Linked DNA regions of Caenorhabditis elegans. The protein of the gene in region 1 purifies or fractionates together with the protein of each later gene. This does not show direct contact. Each region holds a gene or a part of one and is shown in the gene's direction. Other genes may lie near its edges.

What was found. The genes of interacting proteins can lie anywhere in the genome.
Region 2: the proteins of cpr-5 (region 1) and asp-3 fractionate together in Caenorhabditis elegans (co-fractionation; one large-scale study listed by BioGRID). This does not show direct contact.

Annotation. Positions count from the first base shown.
Region 1 is NC_003283.11:1,132,061-1,135,746, reverse strand, and holds cpr-5 (Cathepsin B-like cysteine proteinase 5), read left to right. Parts: upstream 1-1,710; 5' UTR 1,711-1,792; coding exon 1,793-2,250; intron 2,251-2,436; coding exon 2,437-2,678; intron 2,679-2,726; coding exon 2,727-3,061; 3' UTR 3,062-3,149; downstream 3,150-3,686. Other genes in the region: cpr-8 (Peptidase C1A papain C-terminal domain-containing protein), read right to left, coding at 583-718, 773-1,012, 1,058-1,121.
Region 2 is NC_003284.9:6,789,122-6,793,256, forward strand, and holds asp-3 (Aspartic protease 3), read left to right. Parts: upstream 1-1,942; 5' UTR 1,943-2,069; coding exon 2,070-2,128; intron 2,129-2,208; coding exon 2,209-2,485; intron 2,486-2,536; coding exon 2,537-2,641; intron 2,642-2,694; coding exon 2,695-3,450; 3' UTR 3,451-3,588; downstream 3,589-4,135. Other genes in the region: sgca-1 (Dystroglycan-type cadherin-like domain-containing protein), read right to left, coding at 1-27, 112-210, 256-406. UniProt on the Caenorhabditis elegans protein: Aspartic protease. Part of the necrosis cell death pathway. Involved in neuronal cell degeneration. Involved in heat stress response.

The DNA of each region.
Region 1 (3,686 bases):
CCACAATTTTGAAAAATATGAGTTTTTAAGGAAATCCAAAGCATTGTCGCATATTTCGACCCCTACAATGTTATAATATAAATAATTAAAACAAAATTAAAGTATAAAAAATGTAGGAAAAACATTTTTTTTTTGGTCGACTTCCAAAATTATGAGTGGCAAAAACTGAGTAATTGTCACTTTCTGACAGTAAATAAAAAAAGTTCAAAAATTTTTCGAAACGTTTTATTATGATATTCGGTCATTTTGGCACCATATAAATAGTTTTTAACATTTTCCCCACTGGCGCTACTCCACCTTTAATAAAAAGCACGTCTGCGTTTAATCAAACAATTTTGCAGTTGTTGCACTTTTTTCTCAAATTTGCATCACGCGCCGCAAGAAAATTGATTAAATATACATTTCTCAATGTTGAAAAATTTACGAGCTTTAAAAATTTTGAAAGTTGATAAGATAGAGACTTTTCTTCGCAAACTTTTGTTGGTAGGCAGACACGCCTCCAGGTTTGCCTGCCTGCCTGCCATCCGCTTCTAAATTTTGACAGGATCACTGGACCTGTAGAGACGTGCAACTACACCTCACCCTTCCCCACAGGAAAACATTCCCGTGCAACAACTCAAAAGTTCTTCAGCGGATAAAATGGTATTTTTAAATCCTCCGGAATTAATGCAAAGCCTGTCAGACATTGATTCGGCTGCTGCGAACGCCCAACTTGTCTCTGAAAAATTTAGGCCATTACCGTTCATATTCTGGAATTTAAAGCAAAACTCACTACATTCTGAAATATCGTTGATCTGTGGAATTGACATGCACTCCGGCCAACGTTCTCTCGCATCAAATGAAGGAGATAGATCGGAATTTGCTTGTGACACCCCGAAATTCTGGATTTTGAATCCTATAGTTGCAGCGTCTGTGACAAGAGTTTTCAGCATAGAATTCCGGCTCAGAGCAGGAATCCCAGCAGTCCAAGTAGTTTTTTGCGAATTCACATAATGAATTATCCGGTCAATTTCTGAAAATATTGCTTTCAATCTAGAAATACAATTTGTAAAAAAACCTGAAGGTGGTACTCCATCGGCTTGAAATAGGACTCCGATCAGGCAAATCAATATTTTCCGCATTTCGGGTTAGAAATGATTGATTCAATGCTTTCTTATCATTGATTTGAAGTTGCAAAGTTCAGAAAATTTACATCATATTATCCAAAAAGAAATGCAAGCGGAGCTTATTCGGTGAACAATGATTAACAAAATTGCTTCAAAGTAAATTTTATGCAGCTCTACTAAAATTCATGGATTTTCATAAAATCTGCTTTAATAATTCTGGACTAGGCTTATGCCTACTTTTAAGCTTATTCTTAGGCTTAGGCTTGTGCTTCGGCTTAGGTTTATGCTTAGGCTTAGGCTTAGGCATAGGCTTAGGCGTAGGCTTAGGCTTAGAGTTAGGCTTAGGCGTACGCTTTGGTTTACGCTTATGCTTATGCTTATGCTTTTGCTTATGCTTATGCTTATGCTTATGCTTAGGCTCAGGCTTAGGCTTAGGCATTAAGCTTAGGTATTAGGCTCATCCCTAATTCCTAATCCCCTTAGAATTTTTACAGTATTAAAAAATGTTTACATCAATGATCTATTCCGACAAGTGAAAGTATATTTGGCGCGCGACTCATTTACGTCACATTCCTTTTAATTTTTAATTCTTAAAAAAGATACTGATAAAATTAACTGATAAGAATGATGCGTACCGACTACTTAATGAGCATTAGACGCGAACCTTCGCAGACACTTCTCTCATAATGTGGAAGCTCTCCGCTATTCTTCTCGTGGCTGCTGCCTCGGCTGTGGTGATTCCTGGACACCGTGAAGCCCCAGCTCTCACTGGACAAGCTTTGATCGACTATGTCAACTCTGCCCAAAAGCTTTGGACCGCTGGACATCAAGTCATTCCAAAGGAGAAGATCACCAAGAAGCTGATGGATGTTAAGTATTTGGTGCCACACAAGGATGAGGATATTGTCGCTACTGAGGTCTCCGACGCTATTCCAGACCACTTCGATGCTCGTGATCAATGGCCAAACTGCATGTCCATCAATAACATTAGAGATCAATCTGACTGCGGTTCCTGCTGGGCGTTCGCCGCTGCTGAAGCTATCTCCGACAGAACATGCATTGCCTCCAATGGAGCCGTTAACACTTTGCTCTCATCTGAAGATCTGCTCTCGTGCTGCACCGGAATGTTCAGCTGCGGAAATGGGTAAGGCTCCGATTCTGATTTGAAAACTACGCGTCTACACAAAAACGATAAGAATCGACAAATTCCGTTTATGACAAAATGATCTCTAGCGCCGTAGTTTTAATCTCCAAAATCGAAAGTTCTTGCTGATAAGAACACAGTGATCGGCATGGACTCACAGTTGCTTTCAAAACCATTTTTTTCCAGTTGCGAAGGAGGTTACCCAATCCAGGCATGGAAGTGGTGGGTCAAGCACGGTCTCGTCACCGGAGGATCCTACGAGACCCAGTTCGGATGCAAGCCATACTCGATCGCTCCATGCGGCGAGACTGTGAACGGCGTCAAGTGGCCAGCATGCCCAGAAGACACCGAGCCAACTCCAAAGTGTGTCGACTCCTGCACTTCCAAGAACAACTACGCCACCCCATATCTTCAGGATAAGCACTTTGGTGAGTTTACACGTGTAAGCGGCGCTGGTTAACACTATGAAGTTCTAGGATCTACCGCCTACGCCGTCGGAAAGAAGGTCGAGCAAATCCAGACCGAGATTCTTACGAACGGACCAATCGAGGTTGCCTTCACCGTCTACGAGGACTTCTACCAATACACCACTGGAGTGTACGTACACACCGCCGGAGCCTCCCTCGGAGGACACGCCGTCAAGATCCTCGGATGGGGAGTCGACAACGGAACCCCATACTGGCTTGTCGCCAACTCGTGGAACGTCGCCTGGGGAGAGAAGGGATACTTCCGTATCATTCGTGGACTCAACGAGTGTGGAATCGAGCACTCGGCTGTTGCCGGAATTCCAGACTTGGCTCGTCACAACTAAGGCTGCTATCGGAACTTTTTTAAAATAATTCTTCAGGGAGATTTCCATGTGTATATTATGAAATGATGATAAATATTTTATAATTTGCTATGATATTATTTAAAGTATAACCTCGTTTTTCAGTATCTCTGTAATTGGCTGAAAAAAATTGGCCGGTCGAACTTTTACGAGAAGGGTGGGAGACGGAGCGGATTTGCTCAAAACCGGCCTGACGGCAGCAGACAAACCGCGGACTAGGGAACCCGTGCAGGCTGCCATGTTGCGGACACCTTGCGGCTACCTCCGCCTGCCACGCGCCGCGCCTTTTGTATAATATGGCTCTGAACCCAAAAAGTGAGCGTTGCGTAGACCCCAAATCTTTGATTTCATGCCTGTAGAATTGAAGCGAGGAGGCCCGCTTTCGGTGATCAGGTGTCAGGCAGGCCATCAGACTTTGAACCCGCGCCTGCCTCTTATCGAAACTACAGACGGCTAACTGGCGAACAAAAAGAACAGCCCGGAATGGTCATTGGGCCGATTTTCAGTTAGCCTGTGCTCTTTATTCGAGAAATTATTTGTGAAATTCGCTCTGATTCACTTCCAAACATTTATAGTTATAGGCGGTTTAAATCAAATCTATGAAATT
Region 2 (4,135 bases), on another chromosome or scaffold:
CATGCTGCACATTTGTGACCGGTGTGCCTGAAACATACATAACTACGATAAAAATCATAAGATGATTTTATTTTTATGAATGTACTGGTGTGTTAATAACTAATCGATCACCTATTAGATAAGCGATTTCCGGGTGTCGCGACGGTAAGAGACGTAACCAGTTTGGAAGAGCCGGCTTTTTGTTTAGCGTAGCTTCCCATTTCACTTTAACTGAAAATAAAAGAGCAATTGATAAAAACGATCAATAGTTTGCACCTGTGCTCGGGAAAAAGTGTGCAGAATGGAGAGTGTGGACAAAAAACTTTCCCTTGGTTGCAGTCACGTGAGTAGGAGCTTTGAATGATTTCGACGTTCGAAATAGCAACAAAATGGAGAATATCGAAAAATCGAGTAAACGAATTTTCATTTTAAGTGAAGATTTTGTGTGAAAGAGATGTGTGGAACGAGATCCTTTACAACGGCTGCTCGCTGAGCCGTCCGCACAAACTTTTGCTTTTTACACAGCTCAACTGGGTTGGCGGTTTGAGGGAAGCTGCCAACAAGACCCGCCGGGGAAATCATTGTTGACGATATTTTAGAGCATGATGAACTTGATGAGATAAACTGATGTGGTGGGGTTGATTGATGTCGTCTCAATAATGTTTTTAAGATAAAAATAATGAATATATACATTAAAAACGATACTTGAAAGAAAACGTGATATGAATGTCTTTATTTGGAATTTTGGTTTCAGGAGAGTCTCTCTTTCAGAAATTCAGAAAAGGGGTGAACAATTTTTAATCTAAAAGGTAAAAAGTTGTTAAAGAAAGAGTAAATATTAAGAAAATTGTAAATTTTTCAAAGTTAGACTTTTTAAAATCATTAAAAAAAACTAGAGCTAGGTAAAACTTCAATTTTGTTTAATTAGCCTTGACACAGCGGCTGGGAAATAATTTATCATTCTACAAAAAGTTTTTTCATTTTCGTCATTTATACACTTTTTTTTGTTGAAAAAACTAGAATTCAGAGTTTGTCAAAGGTTGGGTATTGGCCGTTGTGAAAATGAAATTTAAATTGTGGTTTAAAGGTTTAAGACTATAGTGAAACTTTTCAAACGACTTTTTAAATTTTTTGTGCAGTCGAAAATTCAAGAAAACTTAGTTTTCACCTATCATAATTCTGGAAGTGGCTGGAAAACAATATAATTTCCAAAATTTCAACTTAAAAGTATATATATCTAAAAGTTTTTGAAGTATGTATATTTATATTATGATTATTGGTCATGCACGACTAATATAAGTGTTTTTAAGCCAACAAAAAATATTGTTAAAAAACTTTCGGCCAATTTATAGTAACACATGTTTTACTACTTAAAACTTCAATACTTGGTTCAATGAAACAAATTTATAAAAATTACTTCAGGTTCTAAAATTATTAGTAATTGTATACACACCTGCTCCACCACTGCAACAGTTCTCAATTTATTTCATCTAGTCCAATGTCCAAATTCTGATTTCGTATTCCCTATCTACTTCGTAACGAAAATTGTGAGACAATTTGACGATAATGATAATGATTTCATATTTTGTGAAAATAAGCCGATTAAATTTTTAACGTGTGGAACTTTCTAGAACTAATTTTAAAGTGTAGTCATATTTTAATAGGGGAGAACAAATCTGAATTGTAGGCCATTGAAATTGTTATTTTGATCAGAATGACGATGAGGGTGTGACGACGACAAAGCAGTGTTGACTTGTTGCTGAAAGTACATATGATTTTGCTGGAAAAAGTTTAATGTGTTCTTTTGGCAAACAGAACGCTATAAAATCCGGATCCTTGTCAGCAAGTCATTTTGTCAACCCGGACACTTTTTAATGGTTTTCCCTCATTTTACACACAAAGTACACTACTTTAATAGCCGATCTAAACTTTTGACTCGGTGAGAGGAAATAATTCCGTTTTCAGCCAGCCAACCTCCTCTACTAATTATCACTAAAATCGGTTGTGACGTTTACAATTATATCATCAAGAGTTTGTGTCGCATATAAAAGAAACCCGGAGCGCTGCTTCTCAATTAGTGATAACGCACCATGTCGGGCCGCGTTTTCCTTCTTCTGGCTCTTGTCGCCTTGGCTTCTGCCATCCAGAGGTTAGTTACATTTTTAATATACCATTCATATATTTAAATTATTTTATTTTATTTATTTATCATGTTTCTTCTTTTTTTAGAATCAAGCTCGAGAAGCGCACTTACACTCGTGAACAATACAAGTTCGGATCAATCCAAGAGCATCTTAAGGCCAAGTACGTCCCAGGATACATTCCAAACAAGGATGCATTCAACGAGGGTCTTTCTGATTACTCCAATGCTCAATACTATGGACCAGTGACCATTGGAACTCCACCACAAAACTTCCAAGTTTTGTTCGATACTGGATCCTCCAACTTGTGGGTGCCATGCGCCAACTGCCCATTCGGAGATATTGCCTGCAGAATGCACAACAGAGTTAGTTTTGAAGTATTCAAATCAACTTTTTTTCAATAAAATAATTTTCAGTTTGATTGCAAGAAGTCTTCTTCCTGCACTGCTACTGGAGCCTCTTTCGAGATCCAATACGGAACTGGATCCATGAAGGGAACCGTTGACAACGATGTTGTCTGCGTAAGTCAATCTTATGATGTTATTTACAATATAGCTGAAAAATATATTTATAGTTCGGACATGATACCACCTACTGTACTGATAAGAACCAAGGATTGGCCTGTGCTACTTCTGAGCCAGGAATCACCTTCGTCGCTGCCAAGTTTGACGGTATCTTCGGAATGGGATGGGACACTATCTCTGTTAACAAGATCTCTCAGCCAATGGACCAAATCTTCGCCAACTCCGCCATCTGCAAGAATCAACTATTCGCTTTCTGGCTTAGCCGTGACGCCAACGACATCACCAACGGAGGAGAAATTACCCTTTGCGACACCGATCCGAACCACTACGTCGGAAACATCGCTTGGGAGCCACTCGTCTCTGAGGACTACTGGAGAATCAAGCTCGCTTCGGTTGTCATCGATGGAACCACCTACACCAGCGGACCAATCGACTCGATTGTTGACACTGGAACTTCCCTTCTCACTGGACCAACTGATGTCATCAAGAAGATCCAACACAAGATCGGAGGAATCCCACTCTTCAATGGAGAGTACGAAGTTGAGTGCAGCAAGATTCCATCTCTTCCAAACATCACCTTCAACCTCGGAGGACAAAACTTCGATCTTCAAGGAAAGGACTACATCCTTCAAATGTCCAACGGAAACGGAGGATCCACCTGCCTCTCTGGATTCATGGGAATGGATATTCCAGCCCCAGCCGGACCACTCTGGATTCTCGGAGACGTCTTCATCGGACGCTTCTACTCGGTCTTCGATCATGGAAACAAGAGAGTTGGATTTGCCACCTCTAGAACCGGAAAATAAGCCTATTTCTAATTTAAAAACTCAATTTCTATGCCATTACTTGCTTGATTGTAATAAATGTGGTTATGTGATGATAAGAAGTTCTAAAACAGTTCTTTCTATACGTTTGCAAGAATTCTAAAAACCCTGACTGGCTTCTTGATAACAAAGTTTACATTGGGTGGGAGGAAAACACAATTTTATGAGTTTTATTTTATGCTGTACTCAAAGAAAACAAAAAATCCAAAGCTTTCGCGAAACATGTGGTTCTCACTTTTTCATGACGCAAGAAATTTTCGTACTTTTCTCACTTGTTCCAGCATGATTCAAATGCTTTGATACACTCCATTTCCACATGTTTTAAATCTCACTAGTGAACACTTTCCGTAGAATCCTCCAAGAGAATAGTGGCACATTTGTGCTACAAACAATCTGTTAGAAATTTGTTTATATTTTTGACATTCTTCCTTCTATTCCTTCTATTCCTGCTAGCCGATCCTCCTCCCCTCAACTTAGAAGAGACATTTGAGATGTTCGATTAGATTTTATTGAAATATACACTTGTGCACGCAAAAACCGCGCGATTATTGTGCAATACCATGTCGTGTTTGTAAAGGAAGACCGCACACAATGCATGTTTCCGGTGACTCGGAAAATATACGTGAATTTATGCTTTGCGTAAATAGAAGTTACGAAACTTCTTTCT